Linked DNA regions of Mus musculus: all the other regions are reported to be linked to region 1. Evidence: microRNA targets listed by miRTarBase, many of them from high-throughput screens and not tested one by one. Region 1 holds a microRNA gene; each other region holds the end of a gene's coding sequence. Distances are from middle to middle.

Evidence for each region. The annotated mature microRNA mmu-miR-362-5p reads AAUCCUUGGAACCUAGGUGUGAAU and lies in region 1 at 1,568-1,591, shown strand. An mRNA with a match to its seed (bases 2 to 7 or 8) in the 3' UTR can be bound and repressed. Matches are read on the target gene's strand: a 7mer-m8 pairs with bases 2 to 8, a 7mer-A1 pairs with bases 2 to 7 and ends in A, and an 8mer does both.
Region 2: the mRNA of Pttg1ip is a reported target of mmu-miR-362-5p. The part of its 3' UTR that is shown has no 7-base or 8-base seed match.
Region 3: miRTarBase lists Kbtbd11 as a target of mmu-miR-362-5p. Seed matches in the 3' UTR shown: 7mer-A1 at 2,484-2,490.
Region 4: the mRNA of Npc2 is a reported target of mmu-miR-362-5p. The part of its 3' UTR that is shown has no 7-base or 8-base seed match.
Region 5: miRTarBase lists Rbm33 as a target of mmu-miR-362-5p. The part of its 3' UTR that is shown has no 7-base or 8-base seed match.
Region 6: miRTarBase lists Nexmif as a target of mmu-miR-362-5p. Seed matches in the 3' UTR shown: 7mer-A1 at 803-809.
Region 7: miRTarBase lists Ahcyl2 as a target of mmu-miR-362-5p. The part of its 3' UTR that is shown has no 7-base or 8-base seed match.

Annotation. Positions count from the first base shown.
Region 1 is chrX:7,239,304-7,243,609 of GRCm38, reverse strand. Mir362 (microRNA 362) reads left to right here and starts at 1,564; the gene lies at 1,564-1,628. The region is part of intron 2 of Clcn5 (chloride channel, voltage-sensitive 5); the gene reads left to right. Mir501 (microRNA 501) reads left to right here and starts at 2,259; the gene lies at 2,259-2,367.
Region 2 is chr10:77,596,592-77,600,897 of GRCm38, forward strand. It overlaps Pttg1ip (pituitary tumor-transforming 1 interacting protein), which reads left to right. Exons shown (of 6, transcript NM_145925.3): 6 at 437-2,141. The coding sequence ends at 474. Among named protein-coding and RNA genes, the nearest start is that of Sumo3, 7.4 kb to the right of the region's middle.
Region 3 is chr8:15,028,631-15,032,936 of GRCm38, forward strand. It overlaps Kbtbd11 (kelch repeat and BTB (POZ) domain containing 11), which reads left to right. Exons shown (of 2, transcript NM_029116.2): 2 at 1-4,306. The coding sequence ends at 674. Among named protein-coding and RNA genes, the nearest start is that of Gm35340, 6.0 kb to the right of the region's middle.
Region 4 is chr12:84,753,504-84,757,772 of GRCm38, reverse strand. It overlaps Npc2 (NPC intracellular cholesterol transporter 2), which reads left to right. Exons shown (of 4, transcript NM_023409.4): 4 at 561-3,214. The coding sequence ends at 647. Among named protein-coding and RNA genes, the nearest start is that of Npc2, 17 kb to the left of the region's middle.
Region 5 is chr5:28,412,657-28,416,962 of GRCm38, reverse strand. It overlaps Rbm33 (RNA binding motif protein 33), which reads right to left. Exons shown (of 19, transcript NM_028234.1): 18 at 3,588-3,676; 19 at 1-3,395. The coding sequence ends at 3,347. Among named protein-coding and RNA genes, the nearest start is that of 9530036O11Rik, 52 kb to the left of the region's middle.
Region 6 is chrX:104,079,313-104,083,583 of GRCm38, reverse strand. Nexmif (neurite extension and migration factor) reads left to right here. Exons shown (of 5, transcript NM_001077354.3): 5 at 301-4,271. The coding sequence ends at 394. Among named protein-coding and RNA genes, the nearest start is that of Gm22266, 11 kb to the right of the region's middle.
Region 7 is chr6:29,908,300-29,912,605 of GRCm38, reverse strand. It overlaps Ahcyl2 (S-adenosylhomocysteine hydrolase-like 2), which reads right to left. Exons shown (of 17, transcript NM_001171000.2): 16 at 4,139-4,259; 17 at 296-3,566. The coding sequence ends at 3,560. Among named protein-coding and RNA genes, the nearest start is that of Strip2, 6.6 kb to the left of the region's middle.

The DNA of each region.
Region 1 (4,306 bases):
TATGAATGAAGCCCATCTATAGCTAGGTGTACATCATATATAGGCCCGTGAGCATAGAAGGTTTCTTTTGTTTGATACACTTGTTTTCTCATAGAGAAAAATGCCTTACTGTCATTCATTTATATTCGCTCTCCCCCCTTCTCTACTTCTCCCCTCTCTCCTTACTCCTGACTCTCTTCACTCTCTGTGACATATAGTAGGAAAGTGAAAGATTGAAACTTGTGATTTTGTCTTTCATATCCCTCACAGAAAGGGGTGTGAACTTCGTTGATTTAGGCACATTGAAGAAGAATTACCAGAGAGCCAGTCCTTGCATTGCCTTTTACAGATTCTCCGAGTCACTGATATTCATGCCTCCTTCACCTGGCTTTTGCATATATGAGTATGACCATACTATTGTAAACAGGACATTCATTTAGACACATGTGTACAAAAATGGTAGTGTAAGAGGTAAAAATAATAGCCAGGGGCCAGGTCCTGCATCCTACTCTAGGCTTGCATCTTACCTAATTTTTTTGGTACTCTTTAAAGAGATAGCATTTGTTATTCTCATTTTTTAGAAGTAGTCCATGACCTTGGAGAAAGCAGGTAGATTCTTTAATCCAGTACATGGTGAAGTATAGGTTTGAAACAGGGTTTGTAGATACCAAACTCCACAGTTTCTCTGTCTTATCCATGATGCTGGTAAGGTCCCCAGCATCACCCAGCCCCTTTTAGAAATACAAAATCTTGAGCTCACTAATGAGAAACCTCTGTAAGTTATCTTAGTACCAAGTCCTCCAGGTATCTGAAGTAACTTTAACAAGATGCTGATGTGTGTTAAAGGATGCCAATCTCTACTGCCATCTTGTGAGCTTATGGCCTCTTCTCTCTGTCTCTCTGTCTTTTTTTCTTTCAGTATTTTGTATCTCTGGCTTTATATTTTTATAATCTCAGAACAAAATATGAATGTATATATTTAGACAGGTTTCTCTGTCTCTGTCTGTCTGTCTGTCTGTCTGTCTCTCTGTCTCTGTCTCTCTTTGTCTCTGTGTCTGTCTGTCACTCTGTCTCTCTCTCTCTCTCTCTCTCTCTCTCTCTTTCTGTGTATGTGTGTGGAGGGTGCAGAGGTCAACCTGAGGTGCTTCCCCTTTGGGGACATCTACCCTGTTTTTTGAAACAGTCTCTAATAGGGACTTGGCACTCACCAGTTAGGCCAAGGGATCTAGCTTTCTTTGAGTCCTCACGCTTGGCTCTTTTATGTGGAGGCTGGGAGTTGAACTCAGGTGCCTAGACATACTTAATGTGAAGCTCAAGAACATTGTCTTCTTTCTCATCACAGATAAGCACCTTGTGTCAAAGGTGAGCCCATGCGTTCATTTGCTGTGAGCCTTTTGCCCTGCTTCAGTTCTCTGATCCTTGCTACCTGGGTGAGAGTGTTCTTCAGCAAGGATTCTGAGAGCCAGACCTTTGTGTTTGTAAAGGACAGAGCGCATCTCTCGTTCTCTTTTAGTGTGTTGCACACAAGCATATTGACCACACACAGGAAGGGCAGGTTCCTGAGCCTTCTTGCTTGCTCCCCCTCTCGAATCCTTGGAACCTAGGTGTGAATGCTGCTTCAGTGCAACACACCTGTTCAAGGATTCAAAGAGGCTGAGCCTTGTCTGCGTGTAGAATGGCCCATACTTGCACATCTCACCTGCCACCTTCCCTCCTCCTGGCCACCATTTGATTTTGGTTTTAGCTGTCAGACTTGGTTCTACACATTTTCTAACAGCAAAATGGTCTTTATCATGTTTGGTAGACATGCTTCTATTCTCAGCATGAGCTTTCTTGATTCCCAGTTTGCTAAGTGTCAGATCATGTGATGAGGAGCACACATTAGGTGCTGCTACTCAGGCAACCCGTTTGTTACATCCAGTGATAACCCCTGTTCCACAAAGCTTGAATTGTATAAAGGCATTGGAAAGGAATGGAGTATCCTCCTCCACTGTGCCCTCTTTCAGTATGTATATGCATTCTCAGATCCCAGCCTTCTTGCTACCTTCCAAACATAAATCAGGCCCCCACAAATTCTCAAGTATGATCTGGGAGAGATACCATTTTGTATACGTAGAAGTTTTCTCTGAGAGAGGATGCTCATGGTGGGAAGGGGGCAGATACATATATAAATCAGGGATGTCAAGCTTGGGTATAGGTGGTGATGCTTGGCTGAATCAGGACAAGGAAAATTAAATATTATATACAGAACCACACAAACATGGTACAGGTGCCTGGGCCTTCTGCTCTGCTCATCCTCTCTAATCCTTTGTCCCTGGGTGAAAATGCTATTTGTATGCAATGCACCCGGGCAAGGATTTGGGGAAGGTGAGCCTGATCTGCATGGAGAAGGACAGGAGGTCTGTGCATCATATCTCATCTGTTTGCTGCTTGCATACTTCTTTTATGCCTCCCCCCACCTTCTTTCCTTCTACAAATACAACGGGCATGGTGCATGGGAGAGTAAATGTGACAAATTTGGCCTCTTCCCACCTAGATTTTATAGGTAGAACTTTATTTCCACTTATGACCCTAACAGGTATCAAGAACAAGTGGGGCACATAGTAAACTGTGTATTGACATAAGTGCGCAGCTTTTCATTCTAGTTCTCATACCGACACCTGGAAGAGAAATTCTTCTTTAGTTCAACTCTTGGAGGAATGCACAGGGCAAGAACAGTAAGCCTTCTTGTTGAACCCACATGCCAAGGGCATAGGTGCAGGCTGTGCCTTTCTAGTACTTGCTACTTGGATGAGTGTGCTTTGCGAATGCAATATACCTGGGCAAGGGTTCAGACATTGAGTTATCTTCATGTAGGACCTTTACGCCTCCTTCCACTGTTTCCTGTCTATTTATTCAGTATGGCAGGTACTCAACTAGGGATTTGGTCCACAGGAGTATGAACCACATGTGGTTCAGGGAGCAAATGGTCCAGGGAGAGTGAGCTGTGTCACATCCATTATGCCTGCATGAGTGGACTGTAGACTGGGACTTCATGTACACTGTCCACTTGGATTCTTCCATATTTTAACACAGTCCCATATAAATGCAGTGTATACAGAGGAGAGGATTCACAGACTTGTGCCCACAGAGAGGATTATCTGACCTGATTCATCAGGAACATTAATCCTCAGCACAAGTGCTGTTTTCAATAGTAAGTCCTGTCCAAGGAATCCAAAGGGTGGCACTTCGCCTGCACTTTAAAGGACAGAGCCCCTATATGTCCACACCCCTGTTCCTTTTCCTTCCTTTCACAAATATTCAGGTATGCACTATTTGATACAGCTCTGTTAGTCATAGAGGATGTAGCAGGAAACAAAATGAACAGAGGTGCTACTCTCTTAGGAGACTAATAAACACACTAAGATCCTTGACTATTATAGACTCACCAACTGCTGTTCAAAAGAATGACCTAGGTCTATTGTTCCTTGTTTTCTATTCTGTATGAATGACTCAGTGCAGGGTCTGATAGATGAGATTTCTCAAACTATTCCCCCTCCCATGGCCCTAGATATGCCTAAACACATGGGCCTACGTGGAGAGGAGTCACTCGCTCACAGGAAGAGTGGATATGGAGCCTATTGTGTTGTTCCCTCTCCTCATCCCTTCAGCCCGAAGACCAGTAGACTAAGTGACTTCTTGTCAACTACCATCACTACTCCCATTTGAAGACAGGAGCTTACTGTCTTACTGTGTAGCTCTGTCCCTCAAGCTGATTCTCCTATACCCACCTCCATAGGTCATACTTTTCTACACACATTTGCAAGCTGGCCTGGGCAACATGTGATCCCAAAAGAAAAGTGAATCTCTTTCATGTTAAAAATAGTAGTCTTTATATCATGTATATTTTTTATTCAGATGAGGGAGGTCTAACTAAGTAGCTTAGTCCAGCCTGGAACTTGCTGTCTATTCCAGAGTAGCCCAGATCTCTTGGTTCACCTGCCTCAGGCTCTGGGTGCTGGGATTATAGGTCTGATGTGCCACCGTGTCCAGATGCTTCATGTTCTGAATGGCCATTTACAGTGGTGATTCTCAAGGCAGGATCCCTGAATCAGCAGCATCACCGTCACATGGGAATGCATTCAAAGTGCGGAGTTCCACCCCTGACCTATCAGGTCATAACACAGAGCAGTTTATATTCTCTTTAAGCCTTCCAGTTGATTCTGATGATCACTCAAATCTTATAATCACAGAATCCAGCCAGGTGAGGGGCTAGAGAGGAAAGAGTTCCCTTCTTTCTTATGTATGTTCATGCAGGCTGTCTGGGAGAAGCTCAGCTGGTCTCTCC
Region 2 (4,306 bases), not on the chromosome of region 1:
TGTAAAACTTGGCTGAGGTGTATTGTGTTTTGCAGAGGTAGGGCGGGCAGTTTTGTTTCACTTTGTCTTTGTTTGGTTTGGAGTTGGTTGGTTGTTGAGACAAGGTCTCACTATGTAACTCTGGTTGGCCTAGAAATCTACTGGTAGACCAGGCTGGCCTCGAACTCACAGAGAGCCACTGGTCTGTGCCTCCAGGGTGCTAGGATTAAAGATGTGGTAGCCTAGCCTTTTGTCTTGCTTAGTTTTGTTTCAGATATTTCTTGCTCTAATTCAGGCTAGGCTCAAACTCACAGTACTCCCCCTGCCGTAGCTTCCCTGGTCCTAGGATTATGGGCATAAGCCAGAACACCCAAGGCTATACATTGCTTTTGTGAGCTTATTTCCAGTTGAGTGAGTGAATTTGTAAACCGAGTTCTTTTTTCCCTTTCTCCCTCAGGTCTGTTTAAAGAACAAAACCCGTATGAGAAGTTCTAAGGTGGCTGGCACACACTTGTGGTGGATCGTGCAGTTCCAGAGTTTCCTGGGAATGCACTCCCCAGCAGAGCCTGCAGAGACCTCACCACCATGGCCACCCTTGACCTGGGTGATCCCTCCAGCCTCTACTGGCACCAGTGTGGCCTTAAGAGGACAATCCTACTCTTGTTCCCTCTGTGTCTGTATGTAATCACCTGAGACCTTAATCTCGTTGATGTCCTTTTTGGGGGGAGGAAGTATACTTGGTCCCCACACTCTGCAAGCCGATTACGAAGCTGGCAGCCTGAGGTGCTGACTAGCTGCTGAGTGGCCTTGCTGGAAGATTCACATTGCAACAAGCAAGAGTCATGTTTACTTTGTTAAGGCAAGAACTGACCACCACCCTTGCTTCCTGAAGGCTGTGTTTTGTCTGTAGGCCCACTGCTGTGATGGGCCCTTGTTGTTGTAATTTTGGTGGCCTCTTGGAAGGCACTGTCCCTAAGTCTGGTAAGGATTGCCTTCCTAACCCAGCTCCATCCAATAGCACAAAAGCTTATAAAGTCACCTGAAGTCTTTAATAATCCCTCAGGAAGCAGTCCTACCAAAACCTGCCATGAGACGTCCAGGCCTCTTGGATGACATTTTTCATTTTCAGTCTTTACTAGACTGAGAATTTCCTGCTGTGGGAAACCTGAGCTCTGAATTTAGTTTGATCCTCTTGTGAGTGCTGAATGTCCAGCATGCTGGTGCATGGACTCCAGTGTCCTTAGAAGGGCTTTGTGGAGGGTCTTGGACATCTCCCTCCACAGATCAGGCAGCTGTTGAGTTGGTCCTGTATGTATCATGGAGGATGAACAGCATCTCCACTGGCCATCCCATTGTGGGAGCTGAGTGTGTAGGAAGATAGGAGGACCCCACACCATTCTGCCTTCCAGGAAAACTGCCTGAGCTGGCATAGACACCCACCTCACTTCCACCCTGCTTCCAGCCATGCCTCCTCACCTATCGTGCCTGACACATCCGCACGGGCCCTGGGAAGGTTGTCAGGAGACACTCGGGTCCCTGAGATTCCGTCCACGCTGTACATTTCTTTGAAATCCAGATGTGTCCTAGTAAGCAGATCACAACCCTGATGGCAGGGTAAGGAGTAAAGATATTCCCTCTGGGAAAGCAGCCACCAGCAGATGAGGTGGTCTTACTGTAGGCTCCCTCATGCCTAAGACCTCACCTAGCATCTCGGTAACCTTTTCACCTGTCAGTCTGTCCAGGGATTAATATTTTCCTCTCTTCAGATTTCCACAAAGTAAGGGAATAACCTTTACCACAATCTGGAGTCTTACCATTTTTCTGCTTTGCTAGGCATTTGATGGAACTTAAAGCCTTGTCAAACATTTCTTAAGTATTATAGCAGGCATTGAGAGTTATCTTTCTCCTGTCTATTGAAAGGGAACCCTCCTTACAGGCCCTGATGAACTTCGTATTAATATGTCGCCTGTATAAATTGTACCTGTTAGGTTGCTGAGCTGATGTTAGAGTATTTAATTCTCCAGCCTAAGGAGTGCAGCAGGTGCTCGTGGGAGTGGTCTGTGCCTACCTTTGAGCAGCATGAAGCCACAGAACCAAGCCTGACACCATCACACCCCGTGCCTTAGTTTTTAACCACTGTCCAATAAAATGGTTGAATATGACTTTGATTTCTTTGTTTTGTCCCAAGGGTGGACTGGGGCTGTGGCTTTCCAGGTAAGGTGGATTTGCCCTGTCATCTGTGTACCATGTTCCACAGGGACTGACTAGGCCAGTCCTGAAGTGGTCACCACCGTCTACCCTCCATGTAGAAAGGTTCTTATTGTCATCTGCCCTGTCCAATCCCACCCCACCAAGCTCAGCATTCCATTTTTATACTGGTACAAAGGTGGCCGGGCCGAGGAAGTGGCTCTGCATGGCTGTCAGCTGACACTGGCCCCTGGGTGCCCACCATCGGCATGGTAGGTGTAGCATAGATAAAAGTGTAGGTGTTGCCGAGTCTGCCTGTGACCTGCTGTTGGCTGTTGACTCCCAGGGTCCTTTGTCTTAGCTCAGCCTGGCTGCTTGAACCTGTTGACTGTTGTAGTAGAGACAGACATAGGGGACTGGGCATGGAAACTGACTCTGCTGCGTTCAGGTTAACACTAAAATAAAGAGACTGGCTTACAAGCCCAGGAACTAGAACATAATTCTGAAATATGCAGGGGAGGGGGCAGGGAGGGATGTCAACAGCCTTCTGATATAAAAGTCTGCCCTCCTGAGGCATGTCCCTGGACAGACGTGTTTATAGGAAACACAAGCCCTGGGACAGGCCATCCAAACTGTCAGACCTGCCAACAGACCACAAAAGGTGAGGACAGGTCCCAGAGCAGGTGGGAGCCCACTCTCCCAGCCTTGTCTTGGGACCACAGCCCTTTGCAGGTTACCCTGGGCAAATGATGTTAGCAGTTGTCACCCTAGATGATAACAGAGAAAATCTGGATGGGTGTGGGAAGGCCAAGAGAAGTTCTGGGGATCCAGTTGGCCAGATGTTAGATGTGTTGAATCTTTAATGTTCCAGGGGAGCTACCTAGGAACTGCTCTAAATCCAAGAGTATCCTCAGCTTGAACTCTCATTCACTCATGCAGGAAGATAGCACAGTGTAGTTGGGTTGAGGAGGGGCTCACTCAGCCATTTCCTGTGTCTGCAGACAGAGGGGGTGGTGCTGGGGTGGGGGTGGGGGTTACATCAACCCTTCCTTCCCAACACTTGGTTTTAAGAATGAGATGTCATGCCTTACCAAAAGCAGCCATGGGTGCTGTTAGCTGGCTGGGTGTTGGGACCTCACCTGTCACCACCCCTCAATCCCATAAGTGGTACTCACAGGGCAAGCAGTCTCCCACTTTGTAGGGGTCAGCCTCAGCTTTGAGTTCTGGTCCTGCCTTTGGAGCTCAAGCAGAGGGGAGTGGGGGGGGGGCTCACAGTTGGGGGTCAGACCAGTTTAACCCAGGGCTGCCACTGTCTCCTGCTCTACCTCAGTGTTCTGGGAAAGGTGTCCCACGGGCACCAGTGCCATCCACACCCAGAGGGAATGTGATAAAAGAGGAAGATAGGGGGGGGCCATGCAACCAGAGGGGAGAGAGAATCAGCACTGGGCTGGCTGCTTGGCATTGGTCAGTAATGCACCCTGGGTAGGATCCGCAGCCACAATGACCAGCCATGCCAATATGACCTGCCTAGCACTCTGTCCTGGCTTCCTTAGGAGAAACCGTTGGTACCCCAAGCTTGCTGGCTTCCCAAGCTTGCTAACTCTGGCTCTTAGCCTTTCCTGACTTTTCTTCCTGCTCTGCCTCCCTTACCCTCGCCACACACTGCCGCCTTGAGAGATCCTCCGTCCCAGAGACTACCTCTGAAGCCTTGTTCCACTGTCTGATTCCTTTGAACTCTATCAAAAAGTTGTCACCTGACCCAGGGAATGTGTCTTAGGCATACTGCAGTGAATTGGGGCTTCTCACAGTTAGTTTTTATGTGGCATCTTGGCTGGGTGGCCCTGCATCTGTCTGCCAGTGCAGAACAGTGCTCGATCCAAGGTGTTGATGTAATTTTTTTGTAAAAGATTTAATTATAATTTTATCTAAGTACACTGTCACTGTCTTCAGACACACCAGAAGAGGGCATCAGATCCCATTACAGATGGTTGTGAGCCACGGCGTGGTTGCTGGGATTTGAACTCAGGACCTTCAGAAGAGCAGTCAGTGCTCTTAACCACTGAGCCATCTCTCTAGCCGCTGTTGATGTAATTTTTAAGCTGTTTTATTATATTCTATTACTTTTACCTCCCTTCTAATT
Region 3 (4,306 bases), not on the chromosome of region 1:
AGGTGCAGCTGCTGGCCCTGGACGGCCACCTGTATGCCGTGGGTGGCGAGTGCCTGCTCAGCGTGGAGCGCTACGACCCGCGAGCTGACCGATGGACGGCGGTGGCCCCGCTTCCCCGTGGCGCCTTCGCAGTGGCCCACGAGGCTGCCACCTGTAACGGAGAGATTTATGTGTCCGGGGGCTCACTCTTCTACCGCCTGCTCAAGTACGACCCCCGGCGCGACGAGTGGCAGGAGTGCCCATGCAGCAGCAGCCGAGAGCGCTCTGCCGACATGGTGGCCCTCGACGGCTTCCTCTATCGCTTTGACCTGTGTGGGAGCCGTGGGGAAGCTCAGGCTGCAGTCGGTTCAGGTGGCGGGGTCAGCGTTTTCCGCTACCATTGCCTGGCCAAGCAATGGAGCCAATGTGCTGTACACCTGAGGCCCCCTGGCGCACCCGCAGGCCTCCAGCCCTTTCGTTGTGTTGCCCTGGATGGTACCATCTACTGTGTGAGCCGCGCCGGGACCTGGCGTTTCGTGCCTTCTCAGGACACCGAGGCTGGCAGCGATATGGGACCTGGTGGCAGCTTTGAGCCCGAGCCCCTGGGATCCCCCCTGGATGTCCGGGGCGTACTCTTTCCATTTGTACTCAACCTGCCTGAGAAGCCGGACCGCGGGGAGCAGGGTGCAGTCTAGGACAGGATCGGCTGGGCAGCTCCACTGTCCAGCATTTGAGGGGACGGGGGTGCTCAAAAGAGTGGGCTAGCCCCCAAACCCCCAGTGGGGGAGGAAGGGCAAAGATGTCTCAGGAATAGAGGAAGCAGAAAGGCCAGGCTGCTGGCCATAGTGCATCATGCAAACGCTTTGAGAGTAAAAGAAGCTTCGCTGGCTCTGAAGACATTTTCCCAATGCTGTTTTAAGCCCCGCTTTGCCGTGCTGGATTCTGCTCTTGCTTCGCTTGTTTAGTGAGGGGTTCATAGTTTAAAGTGTGGGAAGATACAGATAAGCCCATCCCTAAGGGAAGAGGTAGAAGAGGCCACAGATAAAGTAGGATGCAGGTGCGGACTCAGGTGTAATGAGGAGCCTGTCCAGTCCCCTCCTTACCAGTGAATGCAAGACTCTCAAACCTGAATGGGGTCCTAAAAGTAGGCTAGGTATCCTTGCAACAGCAGAGAAAAGGCCAAACCCCGCTAGGAGGTTTAAAATGATAACTTATACGATCTGCGTGAGACCCAAAACGTTCACCCAGTGGTTTGCAAGTTTTTTGTAGGCTCAACTTCAAAAAGTAATTTGTCAAGTACTGAAGGCGAATCACTTGACCAGTCGAATTGCCTTTGTTAATGGTAATGTTAGCAAGCAGCATGCTGAACCGGAGAGGACAGGAAGCAAGGGTGGAAAGACCTCAGGTCAGGAGGCTCTGGTAGCTCTGCGTGCTCACCTACTTTCCTGTCTTAGAATGAACTAGGGCATTTTTCCCCCCTCTCCCTAGAACAAGGAAGTTAAAATCATGTTTTGACAGTTGCATGCTCTGAACTCTCTGCTTGGTGATGTTTTGAATGTATCTTCTGTGATTCCAATGATGGAGATGAATTTACAACCATCTCGAAGGTGGTGTGTGTGGGGTGGGGTGATATGGAGGAGGAAAAGGAGAAACACCTGAGTTTTGAGTGTAGTTTAGCAAGTAAGTGACATTTAACTTCCAAAGTTACCCTACTAGAGTCGGAAGGAGACTCATACTTAGACACGGTTGCAAGGACCAAAACCAAGTCCGTTCATTTTCTCCCATGTGTCAGGATGTTGTGCATTTGAGAATACACAGGCAGGGCTTCCCATTTATAAACAAGTTAAGGGCAAAATATGTGCTCCCAGATAACTGGTTTAGATCCCATAGCTAGCCCACTGATTTATAACAGTGGGGCTCCTAAGCATTCGGAGTTTCTGGAACATAGAGGAAACTTCGCATCCACCCTGTCATCTCCATGGAAACCGTTAGCTGGGGGGTGGGGTTGGGGAGGTGGGGGTGGGAACTAGGTTAAGCTTTATAGCCTGCTCTGAAAGGTCACAGTGGAGTGTGTTTGGAAACAGCCAGCTCGGGTCTCCTGCGTGACCCTGGGGGGATGGAGTTTATAGTTCCTGTTTGTATGTTCTGGCCTCTCTGTGCTTGTCCGTGGTTACCCATAAACCAAGGGAATGTCTTGGCAACTCGGTTAATCATCTTAAGAAAAAGAGGCTTCCCATTGCCTGGTTTTATTGGTCTTTGTGAGGGGTGTCCTGGAGAAAGGCTTGCAGACAAGCAAAGGGAGGCAGAGCAAAGGGAGACACCCCGTCATTCCTCAAGCACCAGGCTTATAGAATTCTATCATGTGACTCTTGCCTGAGAAGCCATTCCTCTGAAATTCGAGTTTGGGATGACATGTCCCTAGAGAGGACAGATGTACATCAGACAGACAAGTCTTCTGCGCGCATCATGCCCCACAGAACACAAACAAAACCCAAGGAAGTCAAAAGGATAAATATATCTATTTACGGATCATGAAAGAACATTAGTTTGCTGATTACAAATAGAGGTGTGGCCGACTTGTTCTTTTTGAGAACATATAAAATATCTTGTGCCCTGTTTGTAAACAGTGGTCCCCCCATTGCAAACAAATGCTACAGGCCCTGGCACATCTCAGCAACCATGCATTTTGTTTCTGGGATCTGGAACCACCCATCTGTCTTAGATTCATTGCTCCTTGATATAAGCAACTTAAGGGAGAGAGGGTTTATTCTGGCTCAGAGTTCAGGTTACAGTCCACCAAGCTGTAGAAGTCCTAGGGCAGGACCTTGAGGGAGCAGGTGCTACTGTGGCCTGCAGACAAGAGACAGCATTTAATGCATAATGCCTGTGATGATCTGTATGTGGTTGGCCCAGGGAGTGGCACTATTAGGAGGTGTGGCCTTATTGGAATGGGTAGTCACTGTGGGCATGGTCTTAAGACCCTCATCCCAGCTGCCTGGAAGCCAGTCTTCTAGCAGCCTCTAGGTGAAGATGTAGAACTCTCAGCTCCTCCTGCACCGTGCCTGCCTGGATGCTGCCATGCACCCACATTGATGACAAAGCACTGAGCCTCTGAACCTGTAAGCCAGCCCCAGTTAAATGTGGTCCTTATAAGACTTGCCTTGGCCATGGTGTCTGCTCACAACAGTGAAGCCCTAACTAAGACACTGCTGCTCAGCTCAGCTCCCTGTCTCCATTTCCAGGACCCAGTCAGGAAATGCTGCTACCATAGCGAGCAGCTCTTTCCCTTCTAATTAATGTAATCAAGGCAACTCCTCACAGGCATGCTCAGAGACCTATGTTAACACCCACCTTTGCCCCCACAACAAGTGGGAGTGAATTTGTTAAGGTGTTAGTTTGGTAGTGAGGGGAGTGAGCTTTGCCGAGATGTGGCTCCAGTGTGTGAACCAGGTAGGTGCTTCCTACACATGGGTCCCATTCTGCCTCTTAACTCCACCTAGGAGTTTGGTTGGCATGAGCACAGATCTGACCGTGGGCTAAGAGTCAAATAAGGCTAACGTGCTTGGGACACCCATTCTCAGTTCTGGGGACATTAACCCTTGTACAGAGCCACCCCAAGTGTTTGAAAGGACAGTGCCATCTTAAGGAGTAAATGATTGACAAGACACACAAAGATTGACCTTCTGTTTGGTTGACGGGTGATTACATTTATATTGCCAAGATTTGTTTGGAAGCTTAGCAACAAGCTAATGTTTCTCGATTTTATTTTTCTTTCTGTTTTGTTCTTTGGCATGGGACAAGCCCCACCTCTAGTGCAGACACTTGGCAGCTCGGCCGACTTGAAATGTGCTTCTGCTTCTAAGGAAACGATGGCAGAGGTTTCTTCTACTCTAAGGGAAGTGAGTGCTGGGGAATCTTGCTGGCTGCTTATTTTCTTACTTGTATCAGTTTTGTTATATGGAGGGTGGGAGATGGGGGGGAAACGATGTCCCTCTAGTCCTGGTGGTGTCTGTGTGACCTGTTAGCAAACATTGTCCAGTGCTGAAACGGAGTACCTCAGAAGGGTGCACTGTTCTCTGCTGAAGTCACGGTAGAGTCAGGACATGATGGTTCGGAATGTCTCGTTGGCAGATGTGAGCCCAATAGCTCTTTGGTGTAGTGTTTTCTCTTTAGGCTTACAGAGAGTTTTCATTTTCATATTCAGTTTTTTTTAATGTCCCCATTTCTTTTGCAATATTATTCACAAGAAGGTAATGACTCCAACTGAACGCGGAACTCTTGCCGGCGCTCCGGGTGCATCTGTGTTTATCCAAGCAGACACGTCATG
Region 4 (4,269 bases), not on the chromosome of region 1:
GAGGCAGGCGGATTTCTGAGTTTGAGGCCAGCCTGGTCTACAAAGTGAGTTCCAGGACAGCCAGGGCTATACAGAGAAACCCTGTCTCGGGAAAAAAAAAAAAAAGCACTAGCTGTTCTTACAGAAGACCCAGGGTTCAATTCCCAGCCCCAAGAGGCAGCTCACAACCATCTCCAGTGCCAGGGAGCTTGGTTCCCTTCTCTGCCCTCTGTGGGTATCAGGGACACAAGTGGGGCACATACACACACATTCAGACAAATGTTCATACACATAAAAAATGTTTTTGTTTTTTTTTTTAATGTAAGCAGGAAAGAAGGGGGAAAGAAATAGCACACTTAGAAGACTACGTTCATAAACTGGACTAGGTTGGAGGATACCGTTGACTAACAGGGCTCACTCTTCTGAGCTTAAGATCACAGGTAGTGGGCTACCCTAATCTGGCTTCAAGGTGATAGATAGGACTTAAAAAGAACCGGAATTGAAAGTGCACGCTTAAGCCAATTATGGATAAAAATCAAGGTTCCAGTTTCATTTTTTCCAATTCTTTTTCTCTTTTCCAGATAAAACTGGTGGTGGAATGGAAACTTGAAGATGACAAAAAGAATAATCTCTTCTGCTGGGAGATCCCAGTTCAGATCACAAGCTAGGCTCCTTGGCGCCTGTGTCTGTGTGGGCTGAGAGGCCATGGACGGAGTGGGGGGGAAGAAACAGAAATCAGACCCGAAATGGAATCAGTGCCATATGATGAACAGAATTTCAAGAATGCTGTTTTATGCCTTTTAACCTCCAAAGCAGTAACTGCAAGCCTACTACTCTTGAGAGCGCGCTCAGAGCCATTGTCCCCCGAGATAGCCTCTGGGGAGGCTTCGGGAGGGAAAGGGGAAACTGGAAAGATTAGATTGGTGTCCATGGCTGTTTGCTGTTGGATTACAGGCAGGTTCCACCAGACAGGATGGGACGGGGTTGCTTAGGGATGTCAGATAACTTGACCCAGGGCTATGGATCCACTGTGAAGGATGGCTTCCCAGAGTCTTCTGGCTGCCTGGGGGTGTTACCTCCCCTGTTTCTAAGTGCCTCCTGAGTCCCCAGCCCCTGGCTTATCAGTCAGATGAGTCTCCTTGGTAGCCTCTGCCCCATCGCTTCAGCAGTAGCGACTAGCTCTCCTCGGTATCCAGACTGGCTGAGGGGCAGTCTGCCGCAGAAATTTGTCTCTGAGTGGCTGTGTCTTTGTGGTTAGCTCTCGTTCTTTGGTAGTTTTCATTAAAGCCAATACTTGGTTGCAGGTGCTTGGTTTTGTTTTTTAACGGTATTTGTCTGTATCCTCTCTCTGCATGTAAGATTGAGCCTCCCCATAAATTCTAACTTGCCACTCCTGCGTGTGTGTTCAGTCTGTGGTTGCCTACTTCTTCCAGATGGCAGCCTCCTAGGTCCATAGCAGGCAGCCACCCAGTTCCGAAGCTCTAGAGAAGATGTGACTCACAGGACTCACGGGCACCGCCTCTTTCCTCGTTTTTATTTATACCAGCTAGACTTTATCCATAGAAAGTGGCCTTGTTCTGCATTGCTGTCAGTGTGCCTGAAGCAGCAACCACCACCTAGCACCACTTGAGGAGGCGTGGTGACGGGGACACTACGCGCCCTCATGGGGAAGCCTAGAAAGGAGAGGGAGGAAGAGGCTGTGGCTCTATGGAGGCAGGAGGGATGTGAGTTCCAGGCCAGTCCGAGTGGCAGCATAGTGAGATCCATTTAAATAAAGAAGTAGGCCCAAGCCGACAAGGGGCAGAAGGGTCGTGAGTTCCACACCAGCCTGGACTTAACCACTCTGCCGTCCCACCCTTCCCTGACTCAATTTCAGTTCTAGAAGGCAACAGAGGCATGAAGACTGCTGCAAGTTGGAGACCAACCCCGTCTACAAAATGAGCTCAAGGCCAGCCTGAGCTAAAGGAGACCTAGTCTCAGATGGGGAGAGAGAACATCATAGCAGATAACAGTTCCCTTTACTATATCTCAAGATGACTGACAGGTATGGTCATGGATCATAGTTTTTGGTAGGGAATGCACACGCTGTTTTTGAGATGAGGTCTGACGTATCTCAGGCTGGCTTTGAACTAGCCATGTATCGGAGAACCTTGACTTTCTGAGCCTCCTGCTTCTACCTCAAGTGCTGAGATTGCCAGTGTAGGCCCCCATTCATAAAATCCGAATAGCATAGGACTGGAGGCTTGCGGGTTTTTTTTTACCTGTGAGTTTCCCAGGCAAACCACCAGGGGGCAGCAATGGGTCAATAATGAAGTTCTTACCGGTGACCTGTTCACCCACTGTACAGAGGTCTTTTGTGTATCCTTTCACCCTGAGCCCACCCTATCTTCCCATATGAGTCAGAATCATGTGAACTCCAAAAGTAGTTACCTGCTGAGGTCGTTGCTTCCAGCTGCCCGTGGTTAAATTTTGGCTCCTCCAGTTATTCAGCTGTGAATGTGAGCTGTAAGTGATTCCATCTCTCCGTGCTTCAATTTGGATTTTCCTAATCCATTGACCAGGGACAATGGTAGCGCCATGTGAAGTGAAATGAGGCATGTAAAACACGAGTCAGGGCGTGCGGTATACACGCTGTCGGTGTGAGCCATTGTGCTAGGCTGCTCTTTTTGTCTAGAAATAGGAAAATCCGGAGGCTCAATCTCATGTGTAATGTGTCTCAGAAAAACATAGCTATCGTCTGTGTGGGAGCTTGCTGAGGGGCCAGGAGAAACTCACTTCTGTGTTTGCTGACTCCCTTTTCCCAACAGATTCTTCTTGCCTTTTTAGCTCTGCAACTAACAGCTCTCAAACCCGAAAAAATGGGGGGTGGGAGGAGGAAGCTCTGTTAGTGCCCTTGTGTCCTCATCAGAACAGGAGGTGACCCAACAGCTTAGGACTGTTTGCTTACGGGCCACTGGGAGGCTCAGTGGAGCCTGCAGTTGTGAGATAGGTAGTCTCCCATGGGAGGATTAGTTTGAAAGGTCATCCCTACAAGAAAGTTCACAGTCATTAACACAGAAGCCTTGAATCCTAAGCATACAAAGGGCCCCGTGTTTTCTACTGCCTGTCTCTGTGCAAACCTTGAGTCTTAGACCCACTCTTCCCTTACAGGAATCTGAGGCAGGTAAATCTCAAGATCCCCAATGCTATGGTCTGATCTTCATACTAATAAAAATCAAGGGGTGGAATCATTTCAGATCCTGGATGCCTGATTTTGAAGGAAGTTGTGTGTGTGTGTGTGTGTGTGTGTGTGTGTGTATGTGTGTGTGTGTGTTAAAAAACAGGGCTGGAGATGAGGCTTAAAGGATAAAAGGTCTCCCCAGAACCCACTAACAAAGCGAGATGTGGGGCTGAAGAGATGGCTCAGTGGTTAAGTACATTGGCTGCTCTTCCAGAGGACTGGGGTTCAGTTTTCAGCACCCACATGGTGGCTCATAGCTCCCTGTAACTGCACTTCCAGGGGGTCAGACACCCTCTTCGGGCATGGCATACACATGATACACGGACTTATTTGGGACTGGGGAGCCATGAATCGAGGGTAGGAACTGTGGCAAAGCAAAAGTGGGGTAAAGGTGTGTCCAAACCCCAGAAATCTGATCCTGAGATTGGCAGGAGTAAGGTCTCTGCACCCCCACGTCCCCCCACCCTCACCCCTGCTCTGAGCCTTCCTGTCCTGGAGCATGAAGCTTGGGACACACACACACACACACACACACACACACACACACCGCCTTTGCCCCCTGGAGGAGGCTACACAGCCAAGTAGCCAGGTCAAGCTTCCTCTCCCTTATAAGGTCATGTCCATCGGTACCTGGAATTCCTCCTTATGCAAATGAGACCCCAGCACCCTGCCCCAGGCCAATGATGTACATTCACTCCAAAAGCCCCTACCCACGCCCCAAAGGTTGCGTAGCAGCCTTTGTTCCCCCATTGGAGCTGTCTCCCAAGAGTCTGTTCTTGCTGCACTCATAACTGCCTGATCTGAAGCCACTCTGGTCACCCAAGGTGGACAGAGACGCGGAGCCTGAACAGCAGCAGACTTACATGCAGGCGAAACACCCATAGGCCTAAAAGAAATAAAATTGGGGGGGGGGGTGAAATCTGGATGCATCAGCTTGCCTGCTGTATGGGGTGGCAAACAAATTCCTGTCTTAAACTTGGACTGACATCCAAGGTTGTCACTGCCATACAAGGAAAATGACAAACTGATATCCTCATCAAATGCACACTAATAAGTAATTATCTGAGCCT
Region 5 (4,306 bases), not on the chromosome of region 1:
ATCTTTGACTGGGGTCAGTCAATGGTCTACATCAAGCTTACCTGCCTAATAATGCCACAAGAAAATAAAAGACGAACAAACGAAAACCAAAAGACAGAAGACAGGGATATTCCTTAAGCCTAGTTCTCCAAGAAAGGCCCTTTATCTAGTTTATGTCACCCCAAGAATTCCCTCACATGTCCATCTGTGGGGCTCTACACCTAAGTGAAGGACCACCCTTTGGAGTCCCATCAGAGGTGTACATTACTAACAATCCATGCTATAAGACTCTCCTTACCCACCGGAGCGACCACTGTCCAGTCCTCCCTCCCATGCCTTTTAAGTTCCCTACCAGCTTCCATGAGCAGCAAAGCCTTCTACCTGCTTCAGGCAGAATGCTGCTTTGTGGGGGGAAAATGACTAATGGGTGTTCTATCCTGATTCAGATAACCATCTTGGACCGTTGCATATCACATGAGAACTAGCAAATGGAAATGATTATGGAAAACCCACCTCCCAGGCCATCAGCCACACTCCTCCACAGCAAGCCATGGGCACAGGACCTGCACAAGCAGCTACCTATTTGGATTGGGTGGGGACTGCCTCAGAATCTCTTGAAAAAGAAAAGGTGAGATTTCCTCCTCAAGAAGAGTATCAATATAATAAGGATTTAACAAATGTGGCCAAGCCAAGGGCAGCATAAGGTTATGTTCAGGTAAGCAGCTGAGTGACTCACATTCATTACAGTACAAAATAAACAAGGCAGAGAGAGGGAAAGTACCTTGTCCCCACCCCTACTCTCTACCTCAGGACAGATGTGAGAGTCAGTCCTTCAACCTCTGGAACTTGTGAACAAATAATACACAGATGAGGGTTAATGCATTGACTTACTACCATCTTTATGAAAATCAAATGTACACACAACAACAATTATGAAAGTGTCTCCATTAAACTTTGATAAGACAACAAAAGAGAACTAACAAATAGCTAAGATGTTGCTGTTTGAGTTAAAAGCATTTCCATTAACGTTTTAATCTGAAAAGGTCCATATTTACACAGTATGCTAATGCTTTTCCATCTCATTTTAAATGCATGATACACAAAGAACAGAGATAATGGTTGCAGCAGATCTTCCACCGTCTGACTTCCCTGTGAGAAGGACACTGCAAGTGGGGAATGCTCTTTCTAATTCTGCTTCTTTCACTTTCTGTGGTTTCCTTCACAGAAGCCTTTAGGACTGGCTTGCCTGGTCTGATAGTCCACCCCAAATGGATGTGTAGCAAGGTCAGAGTGAGCCGTTGTTCTAAGCAGTGCTTGGAGCTGGTCTGTCTCACAGGACACTACAATAAGGAAAAACTGGCTCATGTGTGTAGGCTCAAGTGTGTAGGCTCATGTGTGTGCCAGTTGTTAAAATGTTGGCAACTTAATTGAAAACGTAATGTAAAACTTCAGCTGTGGGCACACGTGTTCCTGGGTATCTCATCACACTCAAAGTGGCCCTGAGCTCCTCGGTCAACAGCGGTGTCGAAGAGGATGTCTCCTTACCTTACTTCAATGCTTCAGTGCCTACTTTCAGACAAAAATGCATAGTTGGGTTTTAAGGACCCAGCACTCAAAACTACTTGAGAAAGCAGTGAAACTGTTAAATTCATTTTACTGTGTCCTAACCCTCAGCCTCCTATATGGCGTCTATCTTGTCCAATGAGAGCTAACATATTACCAAACTCACCAATTTAACGAAATATCTATCAACATTTCCTGTGTCCAAATGAAATGAGTGGGAGTGACAGTGGGAGACCAGTTGACAGCACTTAGATGGGCTAAGGCCAAGCTGGGTACAGCCCCTGCAGGGCTGGCCCTTAGTGTACCAAGCAGGCGTGAGGCAGAGGCTGTGTGGTCAGAGGTGGCACCATACCACAATGTCTTCTAAGACATCCTATGAATGCCTCAGCTCAACTGCCTGGATACCAAACAACAACTGTGCCCCCCAATGCTCCTTGCCAGCACACAGTGTCATCTCAGAATCAATCCTAAGCAAAGTTTCTTGGGGCCTGGAATACCATTCTCCAGTTGTTAAAACGTTGGCAACTTAATTGAAAACGTAATGTAAAACCTTCAGCTGTGGAAGCCAGCTGCTTTGAGTCCAGAGCTCCCTCCTTATTACCCAGCGACAGTAGATGACAACAGACCTCTGTCTCCTCCATCCTACCAAGATATGTGAGATAAAATCACAGGTATAAAATACAACTAAAAAAGTCCTGAGTGTGTCCTAGTGTCAGTCCATTCTAGAGTATGACTCAAAACACTGAAGCATTCAAGGGAGAAACATAATAAGGCACTGTGTTCAATGTCTGCCCAGCATGGACTTCTAAGGGATGCTTTGTAGAAAGCAAGTCTCACCTGTTGGAATCGACTAAAATGACTAATGTGGACAGATATACTTATCTTGGGCAGCATCAGCCCTGCTGAGAAATCCATCCTTCACAAATGTGATAGAAAGGCAGCCCAAAGGAAACTCAGAGCCCTGAATGAAGGACAGTGAGACAATCAAACCAATGACAGCACGAACTACAGAGCTAGGACATTTGAAAAGCAAAGAAGCCCAAGCAGGTCTGACCACCTTTCAAGCTGTGCCTCACCCTATGCCAGGAAAACTAGGCCAAGAGGGCTGCCTGCAGGGTGGCAGAGCCACTGGCTCTGGAGTGCCCAGTGCTTGCCTAGCTAGCAATCTGAGCGTTTCTGTTGAAACAGGTGGCACTTTGGAGGTATTTATAAGAAGCAGAATCGCCACTTCCATGGCACCACTCCCAGACACCCATCTCACACCCTGGCTTTCCAGGGCAGGTGAGTGTCAATCATAATCACCCATTTTTACCTATGTTTTACCAGAGCCTGTTGATGGCTTTCTGAGACCACTCCAGTTAAGCCTGGTTGAGAACTCTTTTCTAGCCTGTACTGAAGATAAGTGCAACCATTATCAAATATTCTTTGCTGTGGAAAAAAAAATCCTCGGAATTTGAGCTGGTAACATTCTTTCCTGAATCTAAAACTCTGTGACCAATCACATAGCAGGATCACGAAGAACAAGGTCTACATGCATTATAAGCACTCGGAAACAAAAGAACACGAGAACAGAGTTCTTGTGGACAACAGAATTCAAAACAATCTAACACCAGACTCCAATCCCATGTCCACCAGTTTAAATAGCTCTCTTCTGGAATCACCCTGTGGCTGGCTGGCACGCAGACAAGTTGGCAAACTGCAGACTGGAGAGACCTGCACTTCTGGGGATCCTGCACCGACCTACAGCTTCCTTGAAGAAATTCCACAGTGTGTGCAGCATGAGGTCAGATATTTCCATTCAAGATCACTCCACAATCAGGGCCACATTTATGTGGGACAGATCAATCATGTGCCTGTGGAAATTTGAAAAGACAGTTAACACAAACTCTTATGACAGCAATTAACCAAGGTGCATGGAAGGAAGTAGAAGGGGTCTCTCCAAACAATGAAAACAGTTTATAGAAAGGATTTGGAACCTGATCCTGTTCAGCACAGCACAGCACCCTCCTCTTCCCCAGTCACCAGCTGTAGAACCCAGAGGATACCTGTGGAATTTCTGTTGAAACGCTAGTGCATGGGCTGGCTCCTTGAACTTTGCGATGGCTTTCCGCTGCTGGGGAAGCATCTGTAAACTCTAGGGGAAGCAAACAAAGACGATTAACTACTGCCAACTGTGACGTAAAATAAAAGCATGTCATGAATTTCTATATAGAATAGGAGTCTAGGATGTTGGTTCAAGCATGAAGGCAAGTCCCCAGTCCTCCATGGTCTCCCTGGGCACCTGTACTAAGCGGTGCTCCTCAATCAGCTAGGGGGCAACATGTTCACCCTCCAGTGTGATAGTCAGAGCCGAACACAGGTAACCACAGGTGAAAACAATTGCTTTGCCTGTGCCTTTCTGGAAGGCAACTTTTGACAGTGCCCTCGTCCATCTAAAGAATGGCACTCTGCCCTGGTTTACCAACAGGGTAAATGAATTTTGGGGATGCACCAGGGCGGGCTGGGGCTCTGCATATGAATGGCATATTGAGCTCTTGCTCTTCCCTTCTTGCTCTCCCTGTACCCTCGCCCCTTCCCCCACCCCTTTCCACGTGCTCATGGATGGCCTCTACTCCTCTTTTCTCTCCCCCCCCTGCCTCTATATTAAAAAAATAAAAATAAAATAAAAATGGCATTTTGAGCTCCAGAGCCTTGGCTCTCTTAGTTCTATAGACATAGCAGAACTGGCTCCCAAGTAAGAACTCTAACAAAAGCTGCACACTAA
Region 6 (4,271 bases), 97 Mb from region 1:
TTTTTGCTTATTAAGGAAATAGAACTAAAACATGCTCTTGAATGATTTTTGGAATGGAAGGGCTTTGCAATAAAGACAGATTCTGGACAACATATTCAAAAAGTCATGTAGACAAAAAGCCAAGATCATTTAAACAAAAGAGCATTAGTTGTCAGCACATGACAATTAGGAGTGCTTTCTCTACCTTTCTGCATCATACAACATCTAGTATGGTGTTAATATATTTACAGGGTATGATCCCTTCGTGGGACATACACTAAAACTTACTAAGATGGCATAAATTCTTTGATTTTTCTGCAGGGATTCCAACTACAATCTCCTAAAAGCAGAAACAGCATTTGGGGTTTTACCTGTGTTTGAAGAAGAGACTCACATTTTCCAGAAAGACATTTGATGTTTGTGTTTTCTTTCTTTCAAAATAAGCTTTGTGGTATGTATGTTGACCTGTAAGTGCTTACAAGAAAAGAATTTTAAATCGTGGGAATAAGTCTTTGAAATCAAACTTTAATCTGATGTTCTGTGTAAAAGACTTTAAAAGTCATACAGTTGCACGAGTAGTTTATGCACTGTTTGCCCACAAGGAAAAAAATGGAAAACTTTGTGCCAAACTACAAATAAGTAACTGTATTGTATATAGTTTTACTTCTATATCAACATTTGGTTGTGAGTATTTGGGGGACTTGTCCCTGTTAATTTACTAGAAACATTCCAGTGATTCTTGCTATTAACCACCCCCACTTTTGTGGATAGCACCTATAGATCACAGTGGAAAATATGTTGTGTTATACAGTTTACCAAAACAAAGGATAATGTTTGAATTGTGCCAAATTTTCTTACTTCATCTCACAGATTCACCCCACAGTTTAAAACTCATTCATGATTATTAAATATATATATACATATACATCCATACATTCTTTTAATGTTTTAAACTCTACTATCCTGTGTGGAAATATGAACAGTTAAACAAGGCACAATAAAGATGTGTTTGTTCCATCATCTAAGGATTAAAATGTTGGAAAAGCTTAGGTCACAACAGCTAAGTCCATCAGGGACAGAGTATACACATTTACAGAACCTTGCACAAGGAAATCAAACAGCTGCTTTGAAAGTTGGTTTTCCAAAGCAAAATCTGTAGCAGAAAAGAATTTAAAGTGCAAAGTTATATTGCTGATACTTTATATCTCAGTTTTATATATTTTATAATAGCCTGGGATAAATTATAAAATAACTATAAAATTGACACTAATAATAAATAAAATACATAGATTGCTTTTATTTAAGTAGTTTCCTAAATGTTTTATTCCAGTTATGTCAAAAGTGCACTCACAACATGGCTTTAGTGTTCTTTAAATGTTGATCTTGCAATGCCAATGTCATTTTTTAAAATGACATCTCAGATTGACAGAATTTTTCTTCCTATGATTAAATACATATACCACCAGGTAAAGCTGAACAATATGTGGAAATAACTAATTTAGGCCATCTACATATAGTCTGAGGATGACTACTCTTTTGATATCACACACTAAACATAAATCTCAATTTTTAATTACCTTTTAAATTCATATTTTTGGTTCAACCCTCCCTTTCACTACTTAGAAACTTCACAGTTCCCACATTCCTCACTACTAGCCTTTTCTTCCCCTTTCTTCACCACTTGACTTATACCATTTGATCTCTTTTCCTTGCACAGTTAAGGCCTATGTGCCTAATGACTGATGCATTGTGGCACAGATGAGATAATGGATGTGAAAGCGCTTTGTAGATCATAAAGTGCTATACCAATATAGGGGACTAATATTATTAATGTTGTTGGTTGTTGTTGTTGTTACTATTCTTACTAATATTGTTACTAACCTATTAACTTGTGAATATAGAGGCTGGGGTGGGAGGGAGGAGGATAAGGGGGTGGGAGAAGGGGACTTAATAAAACAGGGAAGATGTTTCAAAAGACATTTTTGAATAAAATATGAGCAACCTACCTAGTCATTGACACCTAAATATATTCACAAACAGAGAAGCAATGTTTTCAAGTAGTCAGAGAGAAATGGAAGGGAGCCTATCATGTATATAAACATACACATTTCCCAGCCCATGATTCCTTTCACCAGCTTACTCTACTACTTACAGCTAGGTAGGAAAATGAACAAGCCCATGATCTAGATTGTGTGTGTTCTCAGCATCAGTCTCTTTTGTCTGTGGGGATGAGTGGGTGAGGAGAAATCTGTGAGGAGAGTTCAGGCACATTCCTAGGCTTTGACACTGTGTTCAATGAGCCCTGGAAAATGATTTAGTGGGAAGGCACCAACTGAAACAAGTCTCTTGCCCTACAATGACCATCCAAAAGAGAAAATAATCAAACTAGAACACTTTCTTTTGTTTCTTGGTACTCTAATAGCTAGCTGTTTGTATTAAATGTGATGGCTACTTCCTAGGAACTGGTCTTTGTTCAGTTTTGGTTTTTGTCTTGTTTTGCAGCTGACCTTTTGCTTAGAATCATCACCTCAGCCTGTATTGTGATCCCCAAGACTCCAGACCTCAAACTCATCTTGCTTGGTTTTAGGAATGGAGTGCTTTCTATGTAACCAAAAAGTGGAAATTAAAGAAGAAATAAAGAAAATGTTCTATGAGTATAATGTGTTTTTATAAAAGTAAATATGGGAGCAGTTGTCCCAGATTTTTTTAAAGTATCATGATGTTCAGCTTTGGAGAATGGGGTAAGACTGGGGTAGGATAGCTTGAAACTGTTTCTAACAGTTTCATTGTCAGAACTTGATCATCAGTCCTTTGGAGTGGATACTCTTTCAGTTGCTCCTATGGAGCCCACTAGGGGCCAATTTTAGGGCATGGTTCATATCTTTCTCCAAAGAGAACTGCCATTTTAAAGCACCTTTTTATCGGCCTGCCATGCATTGTATGTTCTTAACATATAAACTAGTGACTTGTAACCAGTCATTTTGTATTGAAACATAACAAGAAAGTGAATTTGAGGAGTGTGCAATAGACCAAGGCAGAGATGTTATTGTACACTATGCTCTACATTGTTGAGCACTTTGCATTCTGTTGGTCCTGCCTCTGCTCTCAGAATTATTTTCCTTTCTGTCACAACATAGTAGGCCAAACTTACTGGAGATCTCTTATTCAACCAGCTGCCTTAGTGGAGTGAGGACCAATGTATGAAAATAGTGTTTTGCCCTATCACTGATTTCTTCAACTCAAAAACCCTGGATTTTCCTTGATCTGAAATTTCTGACTACCCCCTTCTAACCTCTCCTTTCTGAGAAGCTGCATCCTATTAATGCCTCCTCATTGGAGTCTCATTTAATCTTTACTTTCCTGGAAATTATATCCTCCCTTGTTCTTCTTTCTTGACTTTTATCAGTCTTAGAATTTTTCTTCTTGTGTAGTATTCTATTCAATATCCCAAACTGTCAAAGTTTAAGAACTACAGCTAGAGGCTTTCTTTTGGAAGTTTAGAGGACTACCTTCCCTGTCTTATTCACTCAAAATACAAATGCACGAGCACATGCACACATAGCATTGAGAAAAGACTGAAACTGCTTTCTCTTGAAGGTGTGTGATAACAGGTCCAATCTCTTATTGTGGTCAGGTGCTGTACTACATGGAGCAGAGTGCAGATACAATGGCCCCAGCCAAGGGTCTTCAAGACATTGAGGGTTGTGTTGGGACTAGAGTAAATAGCTTGAACCTGTGGCCATCCTCTATGCCTCTCCAGTGTCTCAGATCTCAGCTGCTTCACATATGCTGCTCCCTCACAGCTTTCCCTACTGACTTCTTGCTGCTCTGTGCAATTATATGTTAAGGCCTTATCTTTTCCTATATCTTTTCAAACTTTCTGCACTACTTCATTCATCACTTCTTTAGCCATCTCTCTGAAGTCCTTGGTGCTAGGTGGGCTTTTGTGACAAAAATTTTCACCTTCTCTGACTCTTTTCTTTGCTGGGAAGAATCGTTGGGGGGTAGGGAACACAAAGGAGGGTATGTGTGTGTGTAAGAGAGAAGCATAAAGGATGCTTCAAATGCTGTAATCAACTCCCATCCTGTGTTATTTCACGTGAGGTCTTGCAGTTCTAGTGAATTTCCATTTTAGTGGCTTTGAAATAGTGTTTACTGCGTAAAGGAGAAAAGCATATCCAAGGACCTCTTTGCCTTGCTCTTACCAAACTGAACTAGTGTTTTGGAGATCTACAATTTATAGATGCACTCAGAACAGTTCTGAGAAATGAGGAGAGTTAGAGTTGAGTTTC
Region 7 (4,306 bases), not on the chromosome of region 1:
ATCTGAATCTCACAGTCTTCTCCTCCTCAAGGTTGTGGTTCAGAGGTGTGCTCCTTATACATAGCCAGCTGTGGGTCAAGGCGTGGTGTTCGGGGAGAGACAAGGTATTTGTTAGCAGTGTCTCAGTGTAAAACAAGACTCTCAGGGTGATGGTCACTCCAACACACCTGCTGGTAACTGCATCAGCTTTTCACATCTTCATCCTACGGCAGGTATCCTTGTTATTTTTTGCCCACATATCTCTCATCTCTGAATTCATAGTTCACAGAATTAAGTGGTATTCTCAGGACACAGATCAGTTTTAAGAATACTTTATTTTTTGAGATTACATAGTCATTATTGCTGATCTAATACAATCACTTAGACATAGAGATTTCCAAGAGCTTCTCAGAACTGGTGATCCTTAGAGGCTTTGTTCCTTTCAGTAAGATGACAGTAAGAACTAGATGATTATTTGTATAGATATGGATGTGTTTTACATATATAAGTATATATATGTTTAGACTTGTCAATGTCAATATATAATTTGCTGGTGTTACCTATTTTCTTTCCATAATTTTCCTTTATTAAAAAAGCTTAATGCAACAATGCATTCTGATTTATTTTAAACCATGACAAAAGTTAATTCTGAGGAAAAGCACAGGAGCAGCAATTTCAGATCTTTTCAGAGAAAAGCCAAGCAGCAGAAAAAGCTTTGCAGGAGTGTGTGGCCGTGGGGAGCCTGGCTCTCCCAGGAGGGGAACATGAGGAGGGAGGAGGGCAGAGGGAAGGTAGATTAGAGGCATTTTTGTTTAACAAGAAAAAGAAAACAATATTTCCACTAAAACAGCAAGAAGACCTTGAAGTAGCACAAATTCATTGTAGACAAGTGGTGTATTTCCCTCTGCCCAGGGCCACATAACCAGAGACAACCAGTCTTCTCTTCCTTGTCTCCAGGTAGCTAGAGTGCTTGTAAAAGGAAGAGTTGGAATAAGAAGAAATTTGCTCTTATTCCAAGGTTAGAGGAAACAATGATTTGGTTCCAGCATTAGGGCAGAACCTGGGCTATCTTCTTTCTTCCCAACTCTCCACAAGCCTGCTGTACTGGGATTCATTCGCCCCAGGGCCTGGCACATGCTAATCAAGTGTCCTATCACTGTCTTACATCCTATTTCTGGCTACTTTCTTAATGGTTGATGACACAGAAGTCTCCAGAGAGAAGGGAATAGATGTCATCTGTAACTCACAGGCAGATACCTCACTATGGGCAGTCAGGTACAACGTAACTTAGAAACCCATGTGGCTCCTTTTTTACTTGGAGGGGATCTCTTCCCTATGGTGTGGCAGCCATAAGAAGCTCTGTAGAGAGCTAGGCTTTGCAGAAAATCACCAGGATATGACTTGGGGCCCAAGCCAGATACCTGCCTAACGGAATCTGCTCTGGACATAAAATGAGGCACAGAGATATGAATCTTTCACTAAAGAGATCCAATTATGAGGCCAGACATAGTAGCACATGGCCTCAGGAGGCCAAGGCAGGAGAACTGCCGTGACTTTGAGTCCAGCCTGGGTTACAGAGCAAGACTATCTCAAAACAACAACAACCCCAACAACAATAACAAAAAAACAAAAAACAAAAAACAAAACAGATATGGTAGTGGGAGAGTGATTGATGCATTCCGCTAATACAGAAATCAGAATGAGGCAAACAGAACGGCCTATCTCGGTAAGGTCTTCAGTGTTTCTGATCTTCCTTATACAACAGAATACAGCCACAGATGCTGTCCTGGCAAGAGTCCATCTTCTGGGGTGAGCCAGAATGTATACCATAAGGCAAACCAGCCACCTACCCAAGTTCTGTTTCCCTATCTTAGAAAATAAGGACACTTCCAGACTAGCTTCCAGGGCACACACAAAGACCAAGGGACAGCAGAGATGGTGGAGCCAGGGGAGAAGATCTAGAGGAAGGTTTCAGTGATTCTGGGTGTCCTCTGTTGGAATGACCTTGCTCTTGATACAATGTAAAAGATGTATCAATGTAAAAGACACATGGGGAACAAACAGGAGACTTCTAAATAGGGAGGGCCATGAGAGGGACTCATTCAACTCAAGATTCCTAGGGTCACTCCAGGTTAATTCTTGAAATCAAATGATCCCAGTGGAAACCTCGAAACCACTCAGTCTATCTCCAAAGGATATCACTCTTGGGTAGAATGAGAAACTTCACACTGTTTACATTATTATTTTATAATGCTGGAGTTACTTAAGAAACTCTCTGAAACAGAATCCTTAAACAGAAGGGGCCAGATCATAATAACGATACAGCGCGGCAGCAGCAGCAGCAGCAAAGAAAGATAAGCTATCAGACTGCAGATCTCACTTTCACCAAGGCTAACAGCCAAAGGGATGAATGTCTGATGAGGTTCAAACTAGTGCCCCATCCCTTCCCCTAGTTCCCAGCGATTGAGCACAGGGCCTTACTCATGCCAGGCAAGTGCTTTACCACTGAGCTAACCTCCAGCCCTCAAACTAGGTTTCATCATCTCGACACACTTTACAAAGTCTCCTGTCTTCTGCAGCCAGGCTGCAAAGTCTTTCCTGGAAAAACTTCTTTCTTTAGGATATCAAGCTATAGCCCACTCTAAAGTCTGAAGCCCCCAAATCTCTAGCAAACACCTTCGCCAACTCAGCTCCAAGCATCATTTCAGGCACAACAGAAGCACTGTTCATACGGGGCTCTCCTTCTCTGACAGTGCCCATCTAGGGGGCTTCCTAGGAAACAGTCCAGTTAAATGGGAAGAAAGCAGAACTATGGGTCCCAGTGGAGCTGGCTGGCTACTTCCTGAGCAGAGTTTAGTAGGGTTAGAAAGTAAAACAAATGCCTGACCAACACCAGAGCTGTTAAGATCATGGAGTCACAACCCTCTTAGAGCCAGAAAGCATTGAAATGGATATAGTTAGTCAAGGAGAAGAAAGAAGTCCTGGGTAAGAGAAGAGATCCCAGTAGGCACGGACACAGGCACAGCTGAGTTCTTGGTGCAGCTTACAAGACCTTACCACTCCTGCCTCCCCAGCCTTTTTATAAGGAAGGCAGTGACAGTAACTATCAAGGCTGAGAATTCAGGCCTTATTAATTCAGTGGCTTCCAAAAGGCCTCACCTGGGAAAGGACCAAAGCTTTGAGAAAGGCAGCTGCTGAAATGTATTCAGAAAACCCTAAGTAACAAGGAGTCTGGCATCCCTGAACTAACTCCTGAGCCTGGAGAGAACATGGTCATCGCTGGGGATTCCATTAATGGGCAATAATGCGAGTGATGCACGAGGAATGGCTAGCCCATTTCTTTCCTTCCTCAGCCTGTCCTCTGTGGCTCTCACGGCCCCACGAGTTAGTAACCACACTCTGGGCCAAGGCTACAGGCACAGGATTCTAGATTTTAATAAATAAATAACCTAACACACAGGATGAGCACGGCGGGCAGCTCTGATTGGAGAAGCAGCTTGCTAGGTTCTTCCTTGGATAGTATTTGAGAAAAGGCTTGGTTCTATTCTTTAACATGTCTTCTGGCTTGCATTACAGGAACTTAATACCTGGAGGGAAAAAGAAAGTTGAAACTGATGTTATCTGCTGGTGGGACTGGAACATAAGGAGCCTGCCTAAAGGTGTAAGAGGGAGACAAGGGCTTTCCTAGTGTATATGGTAAGCATAGATATCTGTGGCTCTTTTTCATACAGTGAAAAAAGGCCATGGGCTATTGAGAAGGCTCAGTGGAGACAAGCACCTGCCACCAAGCCTGCCAGTCTCCACAGGACCCACACGGTACAAGGGAAGCTTCGTCCCACGGGTTATCCTCTGTCCTCCACACATGCAACCAGGGCACATGCATCATGAACAAGCACCCACCTCCACCTCCATACACAATTACAAAATAAGTAACAAAAATGTGATTTTAAAAGGCTAGTATTTATGGGGCGGGAAGGGGTGGTGGAGAACACCAATGTTTTAAGAAGATTTCAGAGTATTCTGAGGTAGGAGACATGGAGGAAATATGTTATTTTTCTGAGTTCACGTAAAGGTATGTGGTAACAGATACAAGGATCAGCTGCACTCTGGGAAGCTCTAAGTACCCCGCCTTCTCTGATTTCTGGGGAGCCCAAGGCACCTGTAGTAGTTAGGCTTGAAGGGTCCATTCTTGTTGAGTCCCAGATACTTGGCTTGTTCATCTGTTAGCTCTGTCAGGTGGGCATCAAAGGTGGGCAGGTGTAGGCTTGCCACATACTCATCTACAAAGACCACAGACAGGGGAAGTAGTCATGCTTCCTGCTGGCTC